4 linked regions of the Rhinolophus ferrumequinum genome follow. The protein of the gene in region 1 interacts with the protein of each later gene in a pairwise test. Links are inferred from orthologs where the notes say so. Each region holds a gene or a part of one and is shown in the gene's direction. Other genes may lie near its edges.

Region 1 (7,228 bases):
TCTATGGCCTGTAATATTATTTCCATTTTTCGGGTGAATTAACTAAGCCTAAAAATCCAAAAGTGGCAAAGTCCAATTTGGAATCCAGGCTATCTGAAGCCAAAGACCATGTTCTTGACCTCTATTCAGAAAAAAAAAAAATGTTTTAAAATAGAAAGCGATTGGTTAAGCCAACAATGCCTCTGTGACCAAAATGACATTCGTGACTGCTTTTGGGACTTACCAACTCCCCTGGAAGATGGCTAAGGAATGTTACGTAACTGAACACTTAAGCTGGTTCCTTTAAAGTACAGTATACACCACATACTTTCAAGTCTTAAAGCCTTTTGTGCTTTAGAGTGCAGAAATCAGACAGGACAGATGCAAAGGAGCCTAACATCAACCCATTCATTTATTCAAAAATTTCGTTAGCATCTATTATGTTCTAGAAGGTTATATGAAGATAAGACAAGGTTCTTGCCCTGAAAAAACTTCAATGTATTAAGTGCTATGAGAGACAACATTTTGGAAAGCAGAGTATGCTGGGGAAGAAAAAACAGGCATCTTTCAGGCAAAGGGGGAAAAACTGGGGGTAGTAACCATAGTCAGAGGCTTGCACTGTGCAGCATATACTGATGCAGAAAAGAAAACCAGAAAGGCTGGAACCGGGGTTCAGGGGAGAGAAATGAGGGATACAGACCTGGAGTCAGGTCATTCAGCTTCTTAGAAACCTCAGGGCTGGCATTATACCCAGTGAATACCTAAATACTGCAAAGTTCCTACCAAAGAGCGCTCACAACCCCCTGGGAGAGACAGGCCTGTGTGGCTATGACAGTCGGTTGCTACAGGCACCTAGTGCTCTGGACTGTGCCCTAGGCAGAGGTGATTTAAGACAGGCTTCTGGGGATGGGGCTTGAGTTGAGCCTGGAAGAATGAGCAAGCAAATCACAATGGATCTAAGCCATGTAAAGGAGTTTTTATTTTATCTTAAGGACACTGGGGAGCCATTTAGGGTTTTTAAGCTGTATGGAGAGGTATGAATAATTGCCATTTTAGAATGATCATACTAGCTGCTATAGGAATGGATTGGATGTGGAGAAAACTGGAGCAGGGAAACTTCAAGGGATTTGAAACTTCAAGTCAAGGGAAACTTGACTTGAATATATCAAACTTGACTTGATATATTCCAGATAAGAGATTGTGAGATCTTGAACAAAGGTAGTGTAAAAGAAGGGAAGTTATTGGACAAATTTATACCGTAGAAGCTACCAGACACGGTGACCAGTTGAAAGCAGAGAAAGGGAAGGAGAATATCACCCAGGATTCTGGCTGGGGAGGGCAGAACTGTCTGGAGGTGGTATTAAGTGAACAGGGCTGCAGAAGAGGAGGTGCAAATTTGGTGGTGGAAGGAAGACAACTAAGTTCTGTGTGAGTTCATAAATATTCCAGCAGTGCCTCCACTTCCTCCAGAACAATGTCCAGCCTCCAAGGCTGCAGCTGAAGCCCTTCGCATATGCCTTCCACTTACCCTCCCAGCTTTGTCTTGCCTCATTCTTTTTTACAGCCCAAACTCCAGGCCTTCCCATGCGCAGCACAGTTTACACCCTCCCCGACTCATAGCAGGGCCTCAAGCTTGCTCTGTCTTTTTTGCAAATCTCTTCCCTCATATTTCCCTGTTAAAATCCTACGAACCCTATACGCAGATTTATTAAACTCTATGCAAAAAGCACTAATCATAAAAAAAAACACTGAACTGTTGCACTAAAATTAGGAATTTCTGTGTATCAAAAGACACCAAACAGTAAGGAGAGTGAAAAGGAAAGCCATAGACTTGGAAAAGATATTTGCAAGCATATATCAAACAAAGAACTCCATATCTAGACTATGTATAAAGAACCACAAATTATTAAGAAAACAGCCCAATATAAAGTAAACAAAAGACTTGAACAAGTAATTCACAAAAGAGGACATCCAAATAGGCAATACACATATGGAAAGGAGCTCAACATCAAGGACAATGTAAATAAAAACTATTCATAATGAGAGGCCACATTTCACCAAAATGGCTAAAATTAAAAGACTGACAAACAACACCTGGTACTGACAAAGATAAAAGTCAATTAGAACTCTGTTACACTGCTGGTGAAGGTGAAAATTGGTAGACACACTTGGAAAACTGGAAATATCTACTATTGCTGATCATATGACCACCACACAAGCCAGCAACTCCTCTCCTAGAAATGAGTGCACAAGTCCACAGAAAGAAACATAAGCATGCTCATTGCAGCTTTGTTAATTATAGCCAAAAAGTGGTAACTGATAACCTAAATGCCCATCAACAGAACAGATACATAGTATTACATACATTCAATGGAATAGTAAGCAATTAAAGAAAAAAAACCAAGCTACTGTTATATACAACACGGATAAATCTCACAAAAGTATTGACGAATGAAAAAAGCCAGATTCATACCGTACATACTGTATGATTACATTACATGAAATTCAAGAACAGACAAAACTGTTCTGTGGTAAAAGAAGTCAGAAGAGTGGTTATCGAGATAGGAGGATGCAGAGCTAATCAGGAAGGGGCACAAAGGGTGCTGGAAATGTTCATATCTTGATTTGGGGGGTGGTGACACAGGTGTACATATATGCAAAAATTGTGCCCTTACTGTATGTTATACCTTATTAACAAAAAAAAAATCTAAAGATAAAAATTTTTAACAGAGAAAAAAAAAATCCTACCCATCCTTCAAGATCAAATGCCACCTCTTCTATCAAGTTATGCCGGGTGGAATAAATCTCCCCATCAGAGTCTCTGTAGCATTCTGATGTCTTTTCCTTTTTGCCATTTATCACAGTCCATCTTGAATTTCAGTGGAGTCTCCTCATTTCCCTAACTAGATGGTTATCTTCCTGGTGGCAGTGACCATGTCTTTCACCTTTTACTGACAGAGAGCCTGGCAAATAAGGAAAGCTGAAAAGCTGTTTGTTGAATTACATGGAAGGAAAAATTGGGTGGATGCCCAGATGGGTGAAAGGGGGACAGGAAAAGGAAGGAAAGCCTAGGAAAAGAAATAAGAGATCTCTAAGGAAACGTTAGCTTACACTACAATTGTACCTAGTTCCTGAAATCTCATTTAATGTCACCTTAGCAACAAAGAACGAATCAAAACATCAAGTCCTACCCACACTGAAGATAAACAAACATCACACTTGCAGGAAACCACCAAATAAATGCTTACCTAACCTCTGGGTGTTTCAACCTGATGGGGAAATTTCACCAAGGAGAATAATAATCACATAGCCATGCTGCTAAAAATATCGCCAGCTTAGTGTGCAAAGAGCCCAGATTGCGGGTCAGGAGACTTAGGGCTGAATTCTAACTCTGCCCCAACTTACTGTGACCCGTGGACAATCTCTTCGCCTCTTTGGGCCTCAATTTCCTCATATGTAAAACAACAAGGGTTGGATTAGCAAATTCTCTCAAGTCCCTTCCTGTATTGATATTCTGGGTATATCTTTCTCTCCCTGCCCAACGCAGCACAACAGGAAACCCCCGCAAAATACGTAAAAGGCGCCCCAGACCAACAAACAAGCATGATTTGAAGGAGTCATTTTGTTATATTATCTTTCATGGTTTAATCAGTTTTGTTTGTGTTTTGGAGCCTTACCATGATTTGCAGGAGATTTCTGAGTTCCATGTAAACAGAAGTTATCTCTCTGTAGGCTGTCATCTTCTTTGAGAGTGAAGAGGGTCTTCACGCCTGGTTTCAACTCTCGAGATTCAGAAACCACCAAACCTGAGGGAGGGTTTATGAATTTGCGCACACTGCGCGGCACACTGGAGTCGAAGTTAGAGGACTATGATGCCAGGAATGCTGGGATTTGTAGTCCTCGAGACTCTGTTGCGCTCTGGGATCTGTGGTTCCCGCGATCGCCCATGGAATGCTGGGAAATGTAGTCTCTGCCACATCGCTCATTGCAACCGGCCGTCATCTCGGAGCCCTAGTGTACCCAGCGGTCCCTCGAGCCTCTGAAGAGCTGAAGCCAACCCTCCGCTGGGGCAAAGTCTAGGCAACAACACCGAATGAAAAATTTGTCCTACGGGACTTCCCGGGAAGGGCCCTTCCCATTGACGCTCTTCGTCCCCCCCGCGAAGCCGCTGAGTGCTTTTATTGGCTTAACAGGATGCCAATCGCCGAGGCAGGCTTTCTATTGGCTTCGGGGCGGGCGCTCCGAGGCTAGGGAGAAGGAGAAGGGATCTGGAGCGGGAGCTGAGGGGAGGGAGAGGCCGGTCCGGGTCTGGCCGCTGCCGCTGCTCTCCCGAGGTCTTCAGGCCGGGCTACGGCTCAGTCCTCGGCTCCGGGGCACCGTCTGCGAGGCTCCGCCGGGCCAGCGTGGGAGAGCCGCGGGCGGCGGCCGCCGCATCATGTCAGCCAAGGACGAGCGTGCCAGGGAGATCCTGAGGGGCTTCAAACTGTATCCGCCCGGGAGCGGGGCGGGGCCGGGAGGACTTGGGAGGCGGCCGCTTGCAGTGGAGACGGGCTGGGGATGGGGGCCGCGCCAGGTGGGCACTCGAAGGGAGGCTGCGGGAGGGAGGAAAGAACGGCGTCCCGGGCCCCCGACGGGACCCGGCGCTGGAGGCGGGGCAAGGGGCGTCCTGAGGGAGGAAGGGGACGTTGCCTGGAGCCTTGGGGGGTGTAGGCGGAGGAGCCCCGGAATTGGGCTGGGAGAAGTGCTGGACGTCGGCAACGGGTGTCGGGGAGGCGAGCTTGGGTCCCAGCTCCGGTCGGCACCTTGAGGCAGGACAGGGGCTGCGGCCCTCAGGAAAGGGCCGAGGGGGCGCGGTGGGCTGGGCTCGAAGCCCAGCAACCCCCTTGGCGGGAAGCCCCCGGAGAGAGCAGGGAAAAGTGACTTGGAACGAGTGACCTTGTGTGGGACAAATGCAAACGTTTGTGTTCAACTCTCTCGGGTTCCCCCATCCCACCCCACCCCGTCTTGTTTCCACAACTTCTCTTCCTCACTTGTGGCTCCTTCCAGGGCTGGAGCAGAGGCGGGGTGGTGAGGAGAGACGTCTCAGATCGCCCTCGTCTTAACTCCGTCTTGGCCTTTTGAGGCATCGGACGGACGGTGGCTGCTTCTCCCTCAACTTCTCAGTTTTCTTTCCAGCGAAATGAGGACCCTAAACTTGTGCGTGAGGTGCCTTGAGGTGTTTTGATTTTCCACTGAGATTCTTGGCAAAGGTGTCTTTGCTCGCTCGCATTTGTGCGGTTAACGTGTAGATATGGTGGAGCTGTCCAGCAATGTTTTGATTGCGTTGGGGACACGGTAAGATACGTAGGATATAGACAGAAATCATTGCCTCGGGCCTATTGTGATGCCGCTTGTGCAACCTTCTCCCCTTAATTGTAGTGAGAAAGCTTCGTGTTTTAACGGAATGTTCATTTGTAACCAGTTAATGTGGATGAAAAAAATGCAATCTAGTACATTCCAATTTGGCATTTTCCTGCTGACCTCTTCTTACCTCCTATGTATACAATATGGAACATTCTTAAATTCCTCTCTCAATGAAAAGGCAGTCACTACTTTAGGGCCCCTCCCCTGGAGGTTTAGGAAAGCACTGTTTTCTGAGCTGCCTGTGTGTTTTCCCAGTGCCCATTTCACCCCTGCCAATTTTAATTGTTTTGTCACAATCAGAAACCAAATTGGTAGTCAGTTTTGGCACACAAATGCAAAAAAGTTACAGGACATTGTGGATATACAAATGAAAGTTTTCAAATGGAACTTGACCTGCTGTGCTTGTTTTAAAAATTGAAAGGCATTATCACCTTTGCATACTGCCATTCATGAGAAACTTGCAGTACTTTTACGCAGTGGCCTCTTTTACAGCTCCACGTGCCTTTCCAAGTTTCTCTTCATAATGGTGCCTATAAGTAGAATGGGACGGCTGAATGTTAGAAAAGCTATGGCATGGATTTTGTTTCTCCCCTGAGTAATTTATATTGTTACTTAACATGTATGCTGTAGACTGTAAACCAGAGACTGGAGAATTGAGAGATTACTTTTTGGATTGGAAATAACGTATTGCTGAAAACAAGGAGGGGTCTTTTTAATGCCTTTTGAACAAAACAGAAAGGGAAAGTTTGAGCTTCTCTCCTTCAGTCTTGGTTCTTGAACCTGTTGAGAAAGAGGCTAAGGGACAAATGTGGAAAACAGTAGAAGGGAAGATAAATTAACTAATTCAGTGATGACATTAGTGGGTCAAGAAACAGACTTTCAGGAAAAGTTTGACCTGGGCCAATTAAATCACAAGGAAAGCAGCCGTATGAAAATACGTTAGCATGGAAGCAGTGGAATGCTCATCCTCTGGTAGCCGTTATTGGCATTTGAGAATTAAGAGAAAAGAGAGAGGGAATTCTAGGTTTTGCTACTACCTTCAGGAAAAATAAAATTAATAGTTTATTAAGAAACTGCCTGACTGTTGTCCACCTTTGTTGGATAAATTGTTTTCTGGACTTTCTTTTAGAGTATCTGTTCCTGTAAAAAGAGTTTTTACTAGAAAAAGAAATTGCTGTTATATCCTCCTAGCAACAGGGTTGACAGTACTCATTTTGCACATTGACTATGTTGGTCTTTTTAATATTGGCCAATTTGGACAACAAATGATATCTTGTTTTAATTTGTGTTTCCCTGGATCCGTATATCTCTAGAGAGTGGTTGAGAGCTGTACTGGCCTGCAGAGGTGTGCTGCCTGCATTGGAATCCCAGTTCCACACTCCTAGTTCTGTGTCCCTTAGCAACCTCTTTAGCCACTGCCTCAATTTCCTCATCTGTAAATGGGGATAAAAATAGTACCTATCTCATTGGGTTTTGTGACCCTAGGCAGAGCACTCAAACTCAGTATCCACAGCATTTCCTCAGAGAGCTGTTACTAGGATTCAATGAGACTGCATGTAAAATGCTTAGTACAGTGCCTGGCACATAGTAAGTAAGTAATAATGTTACTTATTTGTTTTATAAACAATTACTAATATTATTCACACTAGCAATAGTGTTAATATTACTGTAATACCACTTATTTTTCTGAGATTATAACCAATGCCTTTATGCTAGTATTCTGTTTTCTTACTGAGAAACTATGATACTTCTGTTTTGCCTCTTTGAAGAAATGATTCAGTTAATAAGCATTGATGTATACCTGGTGTTTATCTTTTTTTTTAGGAATTAATCACATTCCAATTTG
Region 2 (7,166 bases), on another chromosome or scaffold:
ACAAGTTCGCAGGCACAGCTTGAGCACCACGGAGCCCATGGGAAAGCTCTGGGCTCTGCATTCCAGGGACAGGCTGGCTTGGCCTCCTGCAGGCTGGTTCAAAGACCAAAGGCATTTCACCCAGTCTTAACTGATCCAGGAGTGGGAAAGGGGAAAGCATTCACTTTCCCTGACTCCAAATGTACCTAAAAGGAGTCGGCCCGATCACATACTGCCTTGGCTTACAGAGCCCCACACTTGCGGTCCCGGGAGACAACCCAGCAGAGCAAAATGCTATGTCTCCCCCCTCAATACACAGGCACACACGCATGCACGCACGCGCGCGCGCACACACACACACTCACTTCTCAGACATCTCTCTTCACTCTTGACCCAACATTGGAAAGCCCTGCCTTTCACAAGGGAAGCTCTTCTACCATGAAGGGGTAATCATTTGCTAAATTATGCAAGAACCTTTGCCTTCATTACTAAGGTCAGAATAGGAACTGCCTAATCCCTGTCTTATGTAAAAGGCAAAAAAAAAAAAAAAAATGTATGTCTGGTACATCTCCCCCCACACCACTGCCTGGCAATGGGCACAATTCCATGGCTCCTTCCATGCAAATTCAGCCCTTCTGTTCCACATGTCCACAGCATCCTGTCCTCCTTGGAAGCAGGTTGGGCTTTTGTAATTGTCACTTCCTTGTTATTTCCAGTTACTTGTGTAAAGTATGCCTTACCTGACAGGCTGTAAGGTTCATGCTGTATCTTCCATCTGCCCTCTAAAGACACTTACTGCCTAACTGAAATGCATTCCAATTTATCCTTGTGTTCAAATGGCATCAAGGATGTCACCTCTTTTAAATCAAACTCAGAACCTGCCTTGGTCACAGAAGTAAGAGCAGGCCTTCTTTCACAAAGCTGCAAATTATCTCCTTCTCCTATACCGCATCCTATCTGGTCTCTACATTTTCTTCCAATTTCTCTCCTTCTTCCCACATGAACCACATCTAGTACTCCCTAAAAAAGTCACTATCATGTCCAGGGTGGCCCCACTAATGAAAGAATATGGTTCCACGACTGAGAACAAGGGGGGAGGTAGAGATCAAACAGTGATTGACTGATAACTCCCTTTTCTTCTAAGATTAGAGAATGTCGCAGCTCAATGACATTAGGGATCAAAGATCTCAGTTCATAGAAGAGGAAACTAATGCCTAGATTCACATTGACTGAGCCAGCATGGTGAGCATCGGTGGCACACACAGATCCAGTCCTGTTTATCCATCCAAAGATGTGACAATAGCTAGGGTCTCACTTTCCCAAGGTCACAAGGCTTAGGGTCATCGAGATAGGTCCGCTATCTACTACAGGTTATACTTGTCAAGAGAGAAAGAGAGAGAAAGAGAGGAGGAGGAGGAGGAGGAGGAGAAGTCAGAAGAGGAGGAAGAGAAAGGGAAGGAGAAGAGGAAGGGAAAAAAATAAAATAACCTACTACATCTCCCGAAGTAATGCTCATCCCTTCAGAGAGACCTGATTTTCTCTGGCAAAGTATCAGAGCCAGAGAACAGATTTCCAAATCCCCTCTGGAGTAACCTCTTGCAAGGGAGGGGAAGTACCCAAAATGTCCCTGTTTGTATCCCCAAGTAGGGAAAAAAACGAAACATTATTGCTGGTACTCACATCTGAGGAAGATCAAAGCCATCAAAGACTCAGGTCAGACACAAAGACCACTGGATGGGGAAGGTTAATGTCAAGGCTGCTTAGGGCAAGTTGGAGATTGAGACTAATAATTAAACAAGCAGGTCTAGGTATATGCTTACGTACACTCATGTGACCCCAAGGCAACAACTTAGAAAGGGAAGTCTGCCTTGCCTTTTTCACAAAAGAACCAACAGGCTAGAGATGGGTAGATTGTTGGAGTGATGCTCTGAATGAACCATTCATCTTGCATCTCCTTAGTCAAGGTTCTTAACTGAGTTCTCTCTCCAAGGATCTAAAGCAGGCACACAGGTAGCAGATGTTTAAAAAAAATACTTTAGTTGAATGCATAAATAGCTAAGGACCATTCAGAGAAAAATATGCGTTCATTCCAATTATCTTAAGTAGACTGGAAAATCTGCTGATAGGAAGAGGGGCAAAGCCAAAAAACCTAGATGAAACTATTAATGCAGTCATGTGTCGACTGATGACAGGGATATGTTCTGAGAGATGCATCATTGGGCAATGTCATCATTGTGCGAATGTCATAGACAGCACTTACACATATACAAACCTAGAGGGTACAGCCTGCCACACACCTAGGCTATACGGCACCGCCTATGCTCCTAGGCGACATGTAACATCCTATACAGCATGTTACTATACAAAACAACATGAGGTTACACTAAGTCCAAGAAAATATGATGCAATCATGGTAAACACACGATGTATGATGAGGCTACTGCTGGTGTAACTTCGTATACTGTTTTACAGCAAACTTTTTTTGTAAGTAGAAAGAGTATACTCTAAAATAACAATAAAAAGCATTGCATAGCAAATACAGAAACCAGTAACATAGTGGTTTATTATTATCAAGTATTACGTACCGTGCATAACTGTATGTGCTATACTTTTATAGGACTGGCAGCACAGTGGGTTTGTTTACCCCGGGGTCACCACAATATGTGAGTAATGAGTTGTGCTATGACATTAGGACAGCTACATCACTAGGCGATAGGAATTTTTTAGCGTCATTATAATCTCATGGACCACCAACATATATGCAGTCCATCGTTGACCCAACACTACGTTATGGCTGTTAACAGCTAAACCCTATATAGCACTTCCTATGTGCCAGGTATTGTTCTATGAACTTGACATAATAATTCATATAATCCTCACAAGAACCCAGTGAGATAGGTAAGACTCATACACACATGTGCAAAGTTCCAGGTGTACCATCTACACCCACATTGTATCAGCTCTTAAAAAAGTTTTGGGTTTCCATTGCAAATACAGACCACTCTGTTCCTCTTACCTGAACGTTACAATAGTGTTTAAAAGCACTTCCTCAAGAATCAACAGAACTGGGTTCAAGTCCCCACTCTATATTACTTAAAACAACCAATTTCCAGGGTTGTGAGAATGAAATGGAATCTTGTGGGAAAAGCATTTCACTAGAAAGGATGTAGTTTCCACGAAGCTAGATTTTCTCAGCTCTTGTGTTTCCAGAGTCTAGAATACGACCTGGCTCCTAAGCCATAACTCTTCCTGTACTCTGCATGGGGAAGCAGTGGGAGGTAACACCTCCCAACTCACCCCGGATCCCTCTCGCTCTTACTTGCCTGGAAGTGTAGGCCTATTTTTTGCCTCCTTCAGGACCGCAGAAGGCGAACCTCTCGGTCAAACGTAACTTAGCAAAACCTGGCCATTCCAAAATGCCATTCACCCGCGCCGTCAGCTCACTAAGAACTCAAGGCCAGTCCCCCGGCAGCTTCTTGCGCTACCACAGGCAGCCTCCCACCACTGGGACTCCTCCATCCCGCACTAACACAGGTGTGTGGAGATGAGTGCGCAGCCCTTAACGCACCATCCCTACGAAAGACAGACGAAGGCGCTGGGGCCTAAGGGAGAGGTCCATGGGCAGTCCCAGGCCACTCCTCTCGCCACGTGGCTTCGGCAAGAGTAAGCCCAGCCCGCGCTGCAGCCCCGCCAGGGCAGTCAGGATAGAAACACAAGCTCCGTCCCAGGACGTAAGGACTGGAGGTAGATGTGGCTGGCGACCTCCCAAGACAACTTACCTCGTCCCGGGAGAAATGAACTGAGACAAATGCCACCAGATGAAGCCCGCGTTGGAAGCCTGGCCTGGGCACCGCGGAACTCCGCCCAGGAACCGCCCCCACACCCTCCTGACCAATCACAGGCCTGGTAGCCTCCACAGGCCACGTGGGCGAATTGTCACCATTCCCGGGTCTCTACAAGCCCGCAGCCACCTCCTGCTTCTCAAGCAGCCCGCCTGCGCAATGGGCGGGCACTTTGGTGCGCTTGCGCACTTAAGGGAAAGCGGAGCTGGACCCCGCCCCGTCCTGCTGCTTTGATCCTCCGCTGTGCGTGCGAGAGACGTTGGGGGCGGTGCCGCAGTAGTTGCCCCTGGTAACGGGGGAGGCAAGAGGAGGAGGAGGAGGAGGAGGAGGAGGAGGAGAAGAAGGAGGAGGAGGTGGGACTCGGCGGGAGGATGGTGAGTGTAGGGGCCTGGGCCCCTCCGGAGCCGATCGGTCACCCCCCTCCCGTCCCCAGGCCCAGGGCGGGGCACTGCGCTTAAAGCCAAGGAGGGAATGGGACGGCGCTCAGCCTGCTGTCTGGGTCCAGGATTGGTTTCGGGGGACGGCAGGGAGCCCGGAAGGTGTGGGCCCTGGAGGGAGACCTGGGCCTGGGGAGGCAGGTGGGCTTGCAACGGATCCCTAGACAGGGGAAAGGGCTGGAAGGGTGCGTGGCTGTCCCCATTCGGAGTCGGGGCTCCATCATTACTCGGGGAGCTGGGATGAGGGCGGATCTGAGGGGCTGCGAAGATCAGCTTCCGCACGCAAGCTTATATCTGCCAAGGGAATCCGCCTCCCTACGCCGCAGGAAAGTGGGGTCCGCCAGGGGCGGGCCAGAAGCGGGAAGCAAGGCCAGCGCTACTGCGTTTGCGGTCGCCCTGGCGGTACCACGGGAGATGGTAGCCTAGCGCTCCTCTTCCTCGTTGTGCGGGTCTCTGGAGGGAGGGTTGTAAATCCCAGGACACATAAAACATGCGCCTCTTGGAAGAGATGCCTGGTAGATTTTACGCCGCCTCGGTGTCTGCGTGGCGGGTGTGCTTCTGCAGTCCGGAATTATTTATTTGCTAAGGGTTCTGCAAGGTCTGGGGGATGGTGATGACCAATCTTCCGTTCAATTATCCATGTTGATGGAAGCAAATTTGCTGCCCGATCCCTAGTATTTCCTTCAGAACCTGTTGCAGCCCTCTTTTGCCTATGACTACACCAGAACCAATCTAAGCTTAAGGTCTCCAAACTAAAAAGGAATTGGGAAATTGAAACTGGAGAGTGGCCATCAATTTGAGGCAAGCCTTTTCCCTGTCAGACCTAATGAAAGCTTTCCCAAACTCTAAATTATGATGTGTGGCAGGTTTGTTCTTTGTTGATTTCTGTGAAGTTAGTTGGAGGGTGTTAAAATGGAATTGAGTATTACTGGAATCTATCAGTAAACTTTTATAGTTGCCGCTAAAAAATCGGAATTGAGGAGTTTTAGAGCAAGCGAAGAAAAATTGATTTTGAGGCATTTAGAGCAGGTTTGTTGGCTTACCAACTGTAAAGAGCAAGCACTCAAGATTAGTTACTTCCCTACCCTAACCCCAGTTCCTTTTTGACTTTTAGAAATGCTGAACCACTTCTAATGATTTACGAAGTAAGAAAAAGCTAGATGTCCACAAGGAAAAACTATGTGTACCTTTGGTCAGATTATCCAATGAGTAAATTTCGATAGGACAAAAAAAAAAAACCTCAATTGATTTTACATTGTCAGATTGTTAAAGAAGTAGAATTATTTGATCGGAAGTTGCCAATCACATTCACATTTCACTCTTACTACATTGCAGTTTTATTAACCTCAGGCTAAACAAGTTTTTACATGTTTTCTTTTTATTAATCGTGTATACATGAGCTGTCCATTTAAAGGCTGTTTTTCTCCACAAAAATGAGTATAAATATAAATATTTACTCAGAAAATAACTACAATTGAAATGAAAAAGACATGCCAAACCAACAGAATTAGATGTCATCATAAATGAGAAATGCATGAGAGTAACCTAACTTTTCCCAGTTTGTTTATCAATTAAGTGGACTGTACGAGTATAATTTCATGATTGTTTAATTTATAATTACAGACCACAATAATTTAAATACTGCTTATGTTTCCAGGTGCAAATTGACACTGTATACAACAAATTGACAATGTACACAACACTGTTGTATACAACTGTTATGTTAAGTGATCAAGACAGATTTTGTTTTTCTTTTTTCCTAAAATGAACAATAAGAAATTAGGACAAATTATTCTGGATTCTTTATCTGGTTTCCAAAATACATTTTTTTTTTCTATCTTCAAAAGTGTGAGCTATTCTTAGAACAGAAAGTAGAACATGGAATTTAAATAGCCAGTGGTATGATTAAGTGTGTTACATCTGGTATCCCATAAGCCCCCCTGAGAACTGTACAACTGAAGAGTAAGTCCCAGGTTTTTGTGGGGGGGGTTTTGTGTGTTTTTTTAAGCCCTCAGCTGTGACATAATTTTTCTTTTTTTTTTAGTTCGTAATACTGCAACAAAACCCATTGGTTTCTCTGAATATTTAGCATCAGCAGTTTTACCCCTGCCTTATAATACCAAGTCGTTGGTGAAATACTAAGATGACAATAATTTCAGTACATAACTAATCATTGTTATTTAATATATCACGCCTTCATTCACGAATTACTTATGGAGTACTTTCTACATATAAACCTAGCGGTAGTTATCAAGCATGTTCAACATTTGAATATTGTTCTCAAGGTGATGCTTTCTGATCAGAAAATGTTCAGTGAAAAGTAAAAAAACAAAAAACACACAACTACTGTCTTGAGTGCCTACTATGTGTCCTGCTTTACACATTTAATTTTCATAGCGTTTTTCTTAAGATATAAGTATTGTTTCCATTTTTCTATATCTAACTGTGCCTGGTGTTATGCATATAGAGAAGTCCACTGCAAGTCTATGAAACTTTAAAGCCTGCAATGTTTTTTTCATTAGGACTCTAGTGAAGTGGAACCCATGCTTTCTGAAGAGATGCCCATATTTTGTTCCTCAGGAAACATTGTATTTATTTAGTATAGAGATGAGGAGAAAGAAGACAAAGTTTGGGTGATGTTCCCTTTATCAAAACTAGAGGAGTTCCTGAAAATAACATCTCACTGGGCAGCACCAATTTTTTGTTAGTTTAAAGAGGTATAAGTAAATTGAAGTCGGTTCCATTTAAACTAGTTATAGAGAGTGCATATACTTGACAGTTGGTTTACTAATTTTGATGTTTAAATTTTAGCTGCTTCTCACAGCCACATGTAGTTTTCCCATATGCCAACACATCCCTCTTTTCCCCTGTACCACACCAGTTTCTTTGAATGACCTAGTTTGTATCA
Region 3 (6,948 bases), on another chromosome or scaffold:
AATGATCCTGGGAAATATTGAGAGGGATTTGCACAGCTTCTTGATATTTGGTGCTTGAACAAGTCGTTGCTTGTGAGGTCTAGTTATATTTTCCTGGTATAATTATTTGTCACTCTCAGTGGTGATTCATTTTAAATGCCTTATCTTGGCTTTAGTATTCCAAGACCCAGTAAATCCATTTTGGAAGAGGTGAGTTATCTTTGTAGGTTAAGTCCTTGCTCTCCCAATCACATTCTGATCTCTTCCGTTTATGAACCAAGTTCTGTTAGTAGCTTCATGTGTGGTCACTCTGCTCTGGTGAGGTTCATCTTATAAGATACAGTGGTACTTTGTTTAGGTTTAGGAAATAGGGAAGGGGACTGGGGTAAATCAGATGTTGGGAGGTCAAGGCCCTGCAAAGGGCTCAGAAGAGAATTTTAAGGTCACAGGGGTTATTGGAGCAGTAAGTGAGCAAACAAAGTACCTGATGACCTGTGCAGATTTCAGTGTGTTGACACCTCCACTTTTTCTGAAACCATTGTCCATGGTTTAAAAGTTACTCTGATGAAAGATTCCATCCCTTAGCAATTAAGGAATAATATATTCAGTCAAGGCAAGAATGAGGCAAGATAAGCACTCTGGGGCCAGGGTGGGGAAATGAGTATAAACTAGTACAAAATGAGTATTAAAAGTATTGTACCCTTTGTACCAGTAATTCCATTTCTAGACATTTTCTCTAGAATACTGAGATGTGAACAATTTAATAAGCAACCATTCACGGCAGTATTTATAACAGTAATATATAACAGGATTTGTTAACATAGCACATTTATACAATAGAGCTTTATATAGCCATTTAAACATTTATGAAGACTTTCATGATATGGTGAACTTTATATATTCAGCATGCATGATACAAAACTAGCAGAGAGAGTATTCTTCCCAAATTTATGATGTATCAAATGAACAACAAAAAAGGAGTAAATGGAAATAGTCACTAACATGTTGGTTTTTCTGGATGGTAGAATTTGGGAGACCAAGTTGCAAAAATGCATTTCTGTTTTTGTTTCCTACAAGAAACACTTTTACAAAAAATTTCCTCCAGTGTTGTTTATGGAATTGTAGAGTATAGACTGGCGAAAGAATTTCTCCTTGCTTTTGACAAGCGACAGTGAGGGCCTCTATCCTCAACTTGTATAGTAATGCAATTACCTCATGAGTTTATACATGTTTTCTTATGCATCTGGAAGAGAGCAAAGGCCGGACTACATTAATGAGATCATGTTTATTCAAGACTGCAGTCTGTTACTTGGCATATAGTGGGATAGGTTGAATGAATGCATTCTCACCTCTCAACACTCTCTTCTTAAAAGCACAAATTGGGAGGATTACTGCTATTGCTACCAACTTTATGACTTCAGCTTCATGTAATGCGTGGTGTATTATCTATTTATACCAGCAAAATCTAGAAGTTGGCCTCTTCTGCACAAGAGTGGACATATTAACATCCCAGAAGATTAACATCTAATTAGAAGAATGTGCTCCTTAGGGAGTTCTGAAGCTTCAGGTTTTGGGGGGTGTGTGTGTGTGTGTGTGTGTGTGTGTGTGTTTTCCTTCCTAAGGACTCTTTTCCAAAAGGCAATACATGATTCTTTTATTATATTACAGTAAACACAAGGTTTTCCTTGGTGCCAGTTATAACGAATGTGCAAATGGTGTGGAACAGGGAGGGTACTATGGTGCAGCCTTTGGAACTTTTCCATCTCTCTGCTTTGGACCCATTTACTAATTCCTAAAGGCAGAGTGACCATGTTTAGCCTAATGACCTTCTGTTCAGGACTTTCTCTAAGGTTAGCTTTTAAAGGAAGGGCAGAGCCAACTGCTCCTGGGTGATTTTCTTCCCCTGCATAGAAACTGACAGGCCTCTGAGGAGTCTGACTTGGCAGTCGTGAAGACATCATTTATCACTAAGAAAATGGGCCAAAAAGTGTCTCTTTGCTAATTCAAGCTCTATCTTATTTGCAATATGCTTATGCATGGAAAGAAGGCAAACAAACAAACAAAAACAAGTTTCCTTGTCTATTTGAATTATTTTTGCTAGCAAGTTTGAGAGGATTTTAACTTCTGCAATTAGTTTCAAGCAATTGTGCTATTGGTTTATGGAAGTTCTTCACCTCCAGAATCCAGGTCAAAATCTCTTCTAAACCTACACGTGTTTGACCTAGAATGCTAAGAAAAATCAAAATTGGATCTAATGACATAATGCAATTGAGTCTAGTTAGCTTCTGCATAGGCAAAAACTCATTGAAATTTCTTTAGAAATGTTTATACACATCCCTTGTCTGTAAATTAGATGAGCAAAATCAAGCTCTGTACTAATAAGTTCCTTCAAAAAACCCTCTAGCCATAGGAATTCTCATTTCTCAGCTGCAAGATGAGATAGGATACCCAAAACCTCATGGCTCACCACCTGGAGCTCCCACTGAACAGCCACACTCCCTTCTGTTCCTGGTTTGTACATATTTAGAGTGAATTCCACTGTTATCTAATAGAACGGTTTTGGTGGCCCCAGGTAAGCTTATTGTATAAAAATTCATTCCTGAGGATACAAAAGAGAAAGCTGCCAAGTTGAGGGAAAATAAAAATCCAACTCCTAAAACAACTTTTATACCAGTTAGGTAGTCGCTTCAGAAAGATTTAAGTTCAAGTTTCACTCTTGAAACGTTATTGTATGGAAGCCCCAATAATATGTGAGAGCAATCCCTCATCCTCCTTAACCTGTGGGGGGGCACGTCAGTCACCTGAGCCTGATACCATAGATATGGCTGGCATTGTTGTTGTTGTTGAATTGGTTATTCATAGCCTCTGTCATAAATAAATAAATAAATAAATAAATAAATAAATAAATAAATAAATAAATAAAATAAGCGAGCCTTGAGTGTTCTTATCCAGCTTTCCTCCTCCCCAAACTTAATGCTCCAAACTTAATAGTGGAATCTCTGCCGATTTCCCAGTTTTTTTTTGTTTTGTTTTTTTACCAGGTCTCAGGTGCACCTGCTCATAGATATTTTTACCTCTTACAATGACAACGGGTCACAAATACTTTATAACTTGGGTCTTTTCAGAGAGCTTCTCATTCTATTGCTCATTTTCTTCAGAGCCGATGATTTGTGCTCAGTGTAATTGGGACTCAAAACATGCAATTAACTGACCAGTTTCTTCTTCCCAAGTGTTGGAGGTCTACAATCAACTCTACCAAGTTCCCCAGCTGGTTTTCTTTGCCTTTCACGTGGTGGAGAGCGAATTCTGCAGGGGCAATCTGATTAGAGGTAGCCTCCTGGATTACCTCTGGCCGTGTCGGGGGCTTCTCTGTCACCCCAGGGACATCAGGCTGGAGCTGTCCGCCTTCTCAGTTTCACATCTAATTGAAGGTGGGGAGGGGCCGTCCCCGAGTCACAGGCTTGCCAGTTCAGCATACTGTCCTACACACTTCGAGGGTCCCCGTGGGGCCGTCTCGAGGCTGCAGAACCTTCAGGAAATAGCTCCGAAGAGGGACACTAAGTGTCAGTGGTTACCACTCCTCCGGCGTTTCGGCTCTAGCTTCCTCCCGGGGGTGGGGAGTGGGAGGGGACATTAACGCTCTCCAGCACTGGAGCAGCTCTGCTCCGCTCTACCCAGTTAGGACACTATGGAAGCACAGAACTCCGGAGGCAGCGGCACCCGCCGATTTTCCGCTCTTCCCTGCTCGCTCTTCCGCCTGCGCCGCCCCAGCTCCCGCCCCTCCGCCCTCTTCACAGGAACCAGGGCCCTCGACGCTCCCGCGCTTCTCTCCTGCCACCCGCAGTGGCCTGCATTTTATAGGCGCCACAGCCAATAAGCGCTCTCCTTTTCTTCTGCCCGCCCTCCCGGCCAATCGCCGCTCCCCTTGTGTAATCTTCGGCTACTCGGCTGCTCTCGGCTATATTCGTCGTTGCTGGCTTTTTCAGGGACTGCTCGCTCGCAGCCAGAGACGCTGCTTTTTTTTCCGGGTTCGGAGCCGTTCCGGATGCTTTAGGCTGCCGGATGACTGATCTCCAGATAACTGAGGCGTTTCTGTACATGGATTATCTGGTAGGTGTGGGGAGGGGGTGGCGTGTCGCCTCTCGGACCCCGATGTGCCTACTGTCCCCCGCCTGGAGGAACAGCCTTTTTGCTTTCTTTCTTTGGGATAGGATGCCTTGGGGTTCTTTCTCCCGCAGCCGGCTCTAGAACTGTGCGGGGGATTCGGAGGGGCGGGCGGAAGGGGTGGTAGAGCTGACAGGTAAAGGTGCAAGCCGGATCAGCCTCCCTGCGGGGCGAGGGGCTGGCTGGGGCTGCGGGAGAGATGGGGCCGCGGCGGCCGGGCGTCCCCTGCCCGCGATCGACTTCTTTGCTTCCCCCTGTGCTCCCCGCAAAGCACTTTCTTTCTGGGGAAGCAGGAGTTTTCCGCTCTCCCTTTAGCAGAACTCCAGGTACTATTAAAGAGCCATAACCAGAATGGCTCACTAAGTGCCCGGCAGCCCCGGTCATTTGGTTGTTATTAGATCTCTAAAGCTATGACCTCGGTCGCGGCGAGGTTTTAAAAGCACATTACCATAAAGTACACGGGACTAAACTGCATCGCAGCCTGGCCAGAACAGGACTGGGTAGGGGCAGGTATTGCCCCACCGTTACGGTCGTGGTTGCATGCCTCGTTTACCATGTGCATGCATTGGATACCAGTTAGTTGCATGTTTAGGCCAGGCTTGTGCTGAGAAGTTTAGATGGAAAAAGTGTCAGCACAATGTTGGGACTGAACATTATTTTAAAAATAGACGTGTGTGTGTGTAATTATGCAAGCACCTTGTATTGTTCCAGAAAGAATATATTCTTGCAGAAAGTATATATTCCCCCAGAGCTGCATGTTTGTGTTCAAGGGGATCCTGATTTGACATTGGTTCCTTTCGATCCTATGCAATGACCAGGTTTACCTTGTTAGCCGGAACCGCTATTGCCATACATATTAAAGATGGTTCAAAACATTACCCTCCTGTCATCTTGCCCGACACATTCAGGCGGTTTTCGACTGTAGATTGGCCTGGCAGAGATTTTCCAGTGCCTTCTAGGAATTACACTTAACGCTGTATTAAGAAAGATTGAATGCTTTCATGATCAAGAGACGCTGGACAAGGAGTAGTTTGTCATGTTATCTTGTATTTGGGCTTTTTACATGAAGGAAATGTTTCTCCTAAAGCTTCAAGGTTTGATGATTGTGTGGGGAAGGGTGCTGATTGCAGTTAATACATGACCTTGTGAATGGAGCGGAGTAAAAAATTCTGAGTTCAAATTGTTTTGTTGTTCATTTGCTGATGTCAGTAACTTCCTCTATCTTTGGTGATAAAGGGACATTATCCACCCACACCTGGAGCCAGTTAAGGGATTATCTGATTGTGTGTTTTAAAATGCAGAGTGCTTTGTAGGTTAAGAGGGTTACCAAACATTTTTCAAAGATTATTTTCTAAATTAAATAACTGATTATTTTGTAGCTTGTCTTATAAATACAGTACTATGGATTTTCTTACAGTAGCCCATATTAAAGCCAAAGTTTGTTGAGGATAATTGCCAAGTAGGAAAGGGTAGCATTACCTGTACTATTGAAAACTAATTTTGGATACTTAAGTAGTGCCTAAAAAGGAGTCAGGTAGTTCTGATCATTTTATTACAGTATTTTCTTTATTTACTGAATGAGTTTTAAATTTACAAATTGCATTATAAAGCTGTCTTTGAGGTGCCAAACCCACTAAAGCATTTAGTGAGAAAAAAAATTGAAAACTCAGATTAATTTCTAGATGGAGAGTCTAAGGGTGGGTGGGTGAATGTGTGTGGGACTTTAGGCTACCTTAAAAGCAGATAAATTTCTTTGTTAATTTACTAACAGTTTTGTGTCAAAATCAGTGGGCCTCAAATTTGACATGGCCTTTTTGTTTTTATATCTATCCCTCCCTGTCGCCCTATTGCGTTGGTATAAAAAAAATCATTATTTGGTCACTTTAACTATACTCTTAAATAATTCACATGTGCAGTGAAACAGCCCCATAAAAATCATTGACTAGTCTTTTGAGGTGAGGAAAAAAAATCTTAAAGGAAATAAATCAGTTTTTGTGTGTGCCAAGTATCCCCTGTGACAAGATTTGAAATCCTTGAACATTAAGTTCAGTTTTTTACTGAAACTGGACTGAAAAAACACACACACAAAACCTCTTGAGGTTGTCTTTTGTGTTTACTTTTTGCTTATCTACTCGCAGAGAAAATGGTATGCCACACATCATTCCTTCCTTCTTGCCTGTCAGATTGACTTGTTTTCTTATACATAATCTTTATATGGTGTTTATTAAAAACCTGTTTCTGAAAAATGAAAGTCACTTTTGTTGACTGTATTTGGGGTCTTATTTTTAAAACAAATCAATTCCTAAGTTATTTTTACTTGCCTTCCAGAAAAAAAAAAATGTTCCTTTCATTCTGAGTTTGACTCTCAGATTTTGCTGAGCTTGTGGACTAGAGTAAGCACCCTGTCCATGAACTTGATAAGAATAATGGTGTGCCATCTTTCCTTCATTTTTCCTTTTAACAGGTGTTAGACTTAGTTGTTGTTGTTGGAAGCTGGAAGAGGAAGCTTTGTGTGTGTATGTATTGTCCATTGTTCTTTGGACTGGATGTCATCACTTAATCTTTGTTATTTGGAGGAGAATAGAAAGGAAGAGAAATGAGAGAAAGGTAGAGGTGCTATTTTTAACAGCTTTTAATAGGATTGTGGCATTAAAACAAATGATGAAGCCCTGATTTTAGAACTTGCTGTTGATTTCCTAATGGAAAAGAAATATTCTCAATGAGAGGTGACAGATAAGTTGAGGGACAGGGATAGTGCCTTAATATTTAAGGTAGGGTTTTTATTGATTTCAGTTCAGGGAGATA
Region 4 (7,126 bases), on another chromosome or scaffold:
TGTCACTGTCCCAGATTAGGAATTTATCAGAGTAATCAGAGCCAAAAAGAGATAAGACAGCCCTGGTCTTTGAACATGTGGTACACACACACACACACTTACGCTATCCAGGCTAGTGGTTTTTAAACTGTATTCCCTGGAGTGTGTTCCTTGGAGGTACCCCAGGGGTTGGGGGAGGTTTGGGTGAGCCCCCTTCCAAATTCCCATTCTGATTCAACCATAGCAGTCTTGTTTTGCATCTTTTTATGTGAGTGTTTTGAGATTCTGCATAAGATTTAATTTGTAAAGGAGTTTATTACATGTAAATAACACCATGGAGATGCAATCAGCAAAATCCCGGAATATGGAAGATACTATACAATAAACAGCCTGTTTTCTCCAACAAATAAATTGCAAGGAAACAAAGGGGAGGAAGGTAGAGCCTATAAAAACACTTAAGAGCCATGCCAACCAAATTCAATGTGTGGACCTTGTTTAGATTCTGATTTGAATAAACCAGTGTATGACACAATTGAAGAATTTTTTAACCCTGACTGGGTACATGGTGATATTGTTATTTATTTTTAGTTGTAATAATGGTATCGTGGTTATGTTAACAAAGAATCCTTTTCTTTTAGAGATGAGTACTGAAATATCTATGAATTAAATGATATTATGTCTAACATCATCCAGTACAGAAAGTGTAGGGGGAGAAGTGGGTTGGGATATAGATGAAGCAAGATTATGTTGATAATGGTTGAAGTTGGATGACAGGTACAGAGGGGTTAATTGTATTATTCTTTTTACCTTTTTAAATGCTTGCACATTTCCATACTCACACACACAAAACACTTTTTAAAAAACAAGTTAAAGGAGACACTTTAAAGAAGACTTGGAATTGTAACCTTATTTTTTAAAATAACAACTTTATTCACATACCATACAATTCACCAATTTAAACTGTACATTTTAGTGGTTTTTAGTATATTCTTGGAATTTTACAACCATTATCACAATCAAATTTAGAATATTTTCATCACCCCCAAAAGAAACCTCATACCCGTTATCAGTTACTCACTCTCCATTCCCCTCAACCCCTGCAGCCCTAGGCAACGCCTAATCTATTTTCTGTTTCTTTGGATTTGCCTATTCTGGACATTTCATACAAATGGAATCATACAATATGTGGTCTTTTCTGACTGGCTTCTTTTGCCTTAAGCTAACGTTTTCAAGTATAACCTTGTCTTAAACTCTTCTGGTTTTGATGAGAAAGAGCCGTCTTGTAAATTTATTACGCTAGCTATGGATTTTTAAATGAAGACACTTGGAAGAGGTTTAAACAAACTTGGGAGGAGTCTAACTGCTAAAAAATAAAGGCTAAAAACCCCTGCTCTAGTCCAAATCGCTTGCATTACATTTTTTTTTAAAGATTTTATTGGGGAAGGGGAACAGGACTTTATTGGGGAACAGTGTGTACTTCCAGGACTTTTTTCCAAGTCAAGTTGTTGTCCTTTCAATCTTAGTTGTGGAGGGTGCCCTTCAGCTTCAAGTTGTTGTCCTTTCAGTCTTAGTTGTGGAGGGCGCAGCTCAGCTCCAGGTCCAGTTGCTGTTGCTAGTTGCAGGGGGCTCAGCCCACCATCCCTTGCGGGACTCGAGGAATTGAACTGGCAACCTTGTGGTTGAGAGCCCACTGGCCCATGTGGGAATCGAACCGGCAGCCTTCGGAGTTAGGAGCATGGAGCTCCAACCGCCTGAGCCACTGGGCAGGCCCCTTTGCATTACATTTAAGGAAATGGGCCCAGAGAGGGAAGTGACTTACCAAATACACACAGCTTGTTAAAGGCAGAGCTGGGTCCAACACCTAGACCTGCTGACCTTTGGCTCCATTGTCTTCATGTTGCCACACTGCCTTCTGATCTAACACACACCCATAACACTTTTTCCACCACAACTTATAAACATGTGACCCTCAAAATATCTTCGGAGACACATCTTGAGAATCAGTCATGATGGGGGCTGCTCTGTCTCATAGCTCAGGTTTTTGGCTGCCCTACCCTGAAATGCAGCCACCCAGGGAAGAACCAGTGCTAGCACCAGCTCCCAGAATTTCTATATTAGAGGAGCTCAGGAATGGCTAGAGGAAGCTGTTTGTGTAGCAAGATCAGTTTTCACTTAAATTGAATTTTTTTTTGTGGGGGGGAGTGACTGATGGAGGCCATGTGTGTAGGGGGAGGCTGGTAGAGGACATGGGGGACAGAGAGCTAAAGCTTTTGGGGCTGCCATTGGAGAGAAACCAGTAAAGGGTTAGAGGATGGATGGGAACCCCACTGGTGCCTCCAGAACTGACTCCATAGGAGACTGAGAGTGGGAACAGGACAAAAAGGTCAGGCTGAGGGAAAGGACTCCAGATTGAGGCAGTCTAGGATGTTAGCTGTTCCTGGAACTCTCCCAAACCATACTTATGGGCAGCTCTGAGAGGCTGTCAGGCCGCTGAAAAGGGGCAAGAAGAGGACAAATTTTATAGACAGAACATCATCTGAGGCCTGGAGGAAGGTGGGGGGAAGAGACTTCCAGAGAGCCTGACAGAGGAGGGTAACCAGCTGATGGTAGCACCTGGATAATTTTCTTTTTACCCTGGAGGCTCCCTTAGCTGATTCCTGATTCCTGGCAGGGGGGCTGAGGATCTGGGTAGAGGACAGTGCAGGCCTTCACCCCAGAACTCTCAGACGAACATGGACTGTGGACATGGATGCCACAGGATTTGATAGGAGACATACTGGCTAGGAAACATTCTCAAAATACCCTTCATTCTCCTGTCTATAGTGGGCATTGAAAATATCACCCTTAGAGATCTGTCCCTTTGGGTCTGGGGAAGGCTTTTAAACATCCTTTATAACAGGGAAAATATCCCTGGGTGGGGCGGCAATGACAGTGAGTTAGGAGTACGCTCAGATGGAACAAGACCCAGGGCATACTCCAGAGGCGCTGGGCTTACCAAGGTGAAGGAACCTAAAGATGAGTTCTGGAGTGTTCTCACTTTTGCCCAATGTCAGTTTTACTTCAATCACTGATCGCCAGGAGGCCTTATTTGGGATACTTGGTTCCTGAAAAAGCAGTTTGTTATTCGAGCTGTGTACACCCCATGGTTCTGTCTAGTGGATTGGTGCCGTAAGATGCAAGGGCTCTGAGGGGCAGGGCTGGCAGGCAGTTACACAGCTCATCTCAACCTTAGGTTGCCCTCCAGCTTTCTAATCCCAAAGTCCCAGGGCCAGTGTTCTAGTCTGGACTTTAATCAGGTGACACATGCAGTTTGTTGGCATCAGGAGGTGTCACCTGGAACTAGACCTGTGCCTGATTCATCCAGGAAGCTGAACCCAGGCAGCAGAACAAACACCCCTAAGCAGCTCCTGCCAGGCATAAGGTGAGAGGTTGTCTTGCCAAACAGACAGGGACTTTGTTTGCTTTGTTCTCTTCCCTCCCATCCCCACTTGCCAGACTCCCTTGTTCCTTTCTCTCTGCCCATCTCTGGGTTAGGGACTGTGTGGGGTTTTTCCAGCTGACACGAGAGGGCTTTTTAATTAATTAATTTTAATTTAATTTAATTATTTTGGTGAAGGTGTTTCCTGAGGAAGAGACTTGGGAATTAAAAGGGGCACAGCAGAAGCTTCTGGGAGGGGAAGTCATAGTGGGAATTGGTTTGGATGGCGATTAGAGGGAATAAAGAAGTCAGAGATCTCTGCCCCCACCTTGGGGTGCCACCTGTCTATAGTTTTGGCAGGTCCTGCTCTCTAGGACAACTCCAGCTTGACCTCACTTTGTGCGTTCATGGGTAGTTTATTATTTTGACACTAATTGGTGGACACTCAAGACCATTAAATTTTGCTTCAAGTCCCTTCTTCCCTCCCTAATATCAAATGCAAAACAGCGTGGGAATCCCCTTTCAGAGGAAGCCACGGTGCAGCTTTAAGAGAAAGGGAAGGGAGGAAGAGGGCGCTGACTCAGATCCTCTTCCCATTGGCTGCTGGAGGGGATCCCATCTCAGGGATTGGCCCTGACAGAGTCCGCCTCCTCTTGTGATTGGCTCATCCAGGAGGATATAAAGGGGCTGTGCCGGCCTCCGGTTCAGTTGGAGCGAGGCAGGGAATTCGCCTGGGTTTGTGTGTTGAGACGCACCTGACGCAACCCTCTCCCCTCTGAACCCAAGTCCAAGTACCCCGGAGGCTGCAACCATGAAGGAAAGACGGGCTCCGCAGCCAGTGGTGGCCAGATGTAAGCTCGTTCTGGTGGGAGACGTGCAGTGTGGGAAGACAGCGATGTTACAGGTGTTAGCGAAGGACTGCTATCCCGAGGTGAGCTGCCCGTCCGCCCCCTGGCCAGCTATTCTTGCCTGCCTGTCTGCCCCCTGCCCCGGGGGTACATTCTCATCTGCCCCGGGGAGCTATCTCTCTCCACCCCACCCCATCCTCAACCGCTTTTTGGCTGGAGGACCGCCCTGTCTTAGCTTCCCCTGAGACCTGTTCCACTTCTGCCGCTCCGCTGGCTCCTCCTTACCTCTTCACCCATAGGCCCCGATCAAATTCCCTCCTACCTACCTTCATCCTGGAGTCTGCTCTCCGCAGAGGGAACTGGAGGCATTTGAGAATCTGGGGTTTCTTGACGCAATACCTGCCCGTCCATTCACCCCAACCTCAAAGGTTCTGTGGGCACGGTCCCAGGCAGGCTCCTGCTGCTCTTTTCTGCTCTTCTGCTGGTGGCTTGTGGGGAGAAGATAAAGAGCTAGAATGGGCTTGTGGCTCAGAAATTGGGAGACAGACAAATCTGGGGATGAGAGGAATCCCTCTCTCTCTCCCCCACCTCTCCCACTTTCTCTCCCTAACCATCTAAAATGGGGGGGGGGGGGAATTGTCCCTGCTGGAAGTCATCACATTTCTTACTTTGATGGAGCAAATTGCCTGTGCCTCTACACTCCCCTCCCTCCTGTCCCATGTGGTCCCTCCTGCCCCAGGCATCCCCTCCTCTGGCCACTTCAGCATCTCACTAGGGTGAATGGCTTCTTCTGTAGCCAGTACCAACCAGAGGGTTACAGGGGCAGGAAGGGCCCAGGTGCGAATAGTTTCTGTCTTTTCACAGACATATGTGCCCACCGTGTTTGAAAATTACACAGCCTGCTTGGAGACAGAGGAACAGAGAGTGGAGCTCAGTCTCTGGGACACCTCAGGTAAGACAGCTGGCCCCAAATGTCCCCTTCCCACCTCCACTGGTCTGCTGCAGCTGCTGTCTTTTAGAAATTGTTTTCTTCTTTAATGGGGAGCAGTATGGTACTTGCCACAAACTGAAAGAAGGGGACATGAAGATTCCTCAGTTGGGTGCAGGGAGAGGGACCGGGTCCACTTGGTTGGCTGGTCCAGGGATGCAGAGTGGATTAACCCCAGAAGCCACTCACTTCTCTGGGTCTAGCTCCATTCTTCAGAGGGCTGGATGATGAGGTGAATGGACCCCTGAATACTACTCGGGGGCGGTCAGACAAGGCTTCTTTTTTTCCACTCCCTGCGCCTCTGCCACCACACACACACACACACACACACACACACACACACACACAGGCTTTACTGCCCCCGAGCAAAACCAAGTAAGAGGCAGGAGGCAGTGTAGCTGGAGGCAGTTGTGACTGAGGCAGGGAGACAAGCCTGCTTTTGGGGAAATACTGCTCCTAACTCAGTTTTGTCCCCTGCATTCCACCTCGGGCCACTGCTGTCCTCCTGCCGCAGCTCAGCTCCACTCAGCTCCACTCGTCATACCGCTGCGGCTCAGGGCTGAAGTGATGCATCATCGATGTTTTGGAGGGTGGGGGAGATGGCTTCATATGGAGCAGAGTCACGTTATAGATAGTAGCCGGAGGAGGGGTGTTGGCTTTGACCATTTTCCTTGTACTGGGCTGAGGTAGAAGACGCCCTGTCTTTCTGGAATGTAAGAAGCAATGTTTTTCCAGCCTCTCAACCCTAAACCCTCAGCACTAGGCTATCCTTTGCTTTGATTCTGATCCCTTTCCATTATCTCTTCACCCCAATCCTTTCTTAATAACTGGGCTCAGAGTCGTAATTAAGGACTAAAAGCAAGGAATGGGAGAAAGAAAAGAAAATCCACTCCTCTCTAAAAATGCATATTCAGGCTGAATTTAAAGAGGAACTATAAATCACTAAGGGTTTCCTGTTACACACAATAAATATGCTGTCCTGCTCCTCCAAAGAGCTGTTGTTCCCATGATCCAATTTTGAGGTCTGAAAAGATTAGGGGTAGGGGATGGGTAAATAGAAGATGACTTCCCCTCGCTCCCCCTTCCCCAAACAAAGCAAAACAAAAATTGCCGGACCCGCTATGTTTTCCTCTGCTGCAGTTCCGGGGGTTGGGAGGCAGGGTTCTGGGTTCCCGGTCTGTGCTGTGCTGGCTGGATCCGCCTGGAATGCACTTGGCTTCAGGATGTATGGCTTGGCATCTGCTGTACCTTGCCCACCTTTCAGTCTTCCCAGAATCTTACTGCAGCTCATCTCTTCTCACTACCTCCGCCCCAAAGTGCCACTCCCCCCACCCTCTTCCTGCTGCTTCTACCCTCCTCCCATAGTCAGAATGCAGCCTTTCAATCCCAATCCAGATAATGGAAACTCAGCAAGGTGGTCTCTGTTTCTTGTGTTGCATTCCCACCCCCTAGTTTCCAAAAGGATGCAGGCTATCAGTCATCCTCAAACTCCCTCTTTCAAATGAGGTACCCAGAAGGAAGGAGGAAGTGGCAGCCCAATGGGGATGGGGCTTTCCAACACGGGCCAGGGTTGAACCTGCTCCTGTTATTTACTCGCTGGTGTTGCTTAGAGCCAGAATGGAGGCCTCCTCCCCTCCCCCTTCCCAGTGCTGCAGTGCTCCCTTTTTTCAGTGCTGCGGTGATAAGACCCCACCTCAGAGAGGGGATGGGGTGGATTGCTGAAGGAGCAGGCAGCTATCCCAACTCCCCTTTACTCTTTTTTAAACAACCAACCCCCTCCCCACTTGGATTCCCCCCAGTTTCCATGGCGATTGTGGTGCAGGGAGAGGGGCTGCTTGCTATTCTGAGCACGGATTGTCTGGGTTCCAAATCTGCTACTGTTCCTTCCCCAGG

What was found.
Region 2: the proteins of PDE6D (region 1) and ARL3 interact in binary tests that used the Homo sapiens proteins (3 or more experiments, as listed by UniProt). The link is inferred for Rhinolophus ferrumequinum from reciprocal best matches to the Homo sapiens genes PDE6D and ARL3.
Region 3: the proteins of PDE6D (region 1) and ARL15 interact in binary tests that used the Homo sapiens proteins (3 or more experiments, as listed by UniProt). The link is inferred for Rhinolophus ferrumequinum from reciprocal best matches to the Homo sapiens genes PDE6D and ARL15.
Region 4: the proteins of PDE6D (region 1) and RND1 interact in a two-hybrid assay, tested with the Homo sapiens proteins (2 studies listed by BioGRID). The link is inferred for Rhinolophus ferrumequinum from reciprocal best matches to the Homo sapiens genes PDE6D and RND1.

Annotation. Positions count from the first base shown.
Region 1 is NC_046291.1:6,749,985-6,757,212, forward strand, and holds the start of PDE6D (retinal rod rhodopsin-sensitive cGMP 3',5'-cyclic phosphodiesterase subunit delta), read left to right. Parts: upstream 1-4,204; 5' UTR 4,205-4,414; coding exon 4,415-4,464; intron 4,465-7,228. UniProt on the Homo sapiens protein: Promotes the release of prenylated target proteins from cellular membranes. Modulates the activity of prenylated or palmitoylated Ras family members by regulating their subcellular location.
Region 2 is NC_046299.1:22,368,117-22,375,282, forward strand, and holds the start of ARL3 (ADP-ribosylation factor-like protein 3), read left to right. Parts: upstream 1-4,143; 5' UTR 4,144-4,192; coding exon 4,193-4,195; intron 4,196-7,166. UniProt on the Homo sapiens protein: Small GTP-binding protein which cycles between an inactive GDP-bound and an active GTP-bound form, and the rate of cycling is regulated by guanine nucleotide exchange factors (GEF) and GTPase-activating proteins (GAP).
Region 3 is NC_046290.1:33,675,333-33,682,280, reverse strand, and holds the start of ARL15 (ADP-ribosylation factor-like protein 15), read left to right. Parts: upstream 1-3,947; 5' UTR 3,948-4,041; coding exon 4,042-4,089; intron 4,090-6,948.
Region 4 is NC_046293.1:49,975,270-49,982,395, reverse strand, and holds the start of RND1 (rho-related GTP-binding protein Rho6), read left to right. Parts: upstream 1-4,103; 5' UTR 4,104-4,208; coding exon 4,209-4,328; intron 4,329-5,109; coding exon 5,110-5,197; intron 5,198-7,126. UniProt on the Homo sapiens protein: Lacks intrinsic GTPase activity. Has a low affinity for GDP, and constitutively binds GTP. Controls rearrangements of the actin cytoskeleton. Induces the Rac-dependent neuritic process formation in part by disruption of the cortical actin filaments.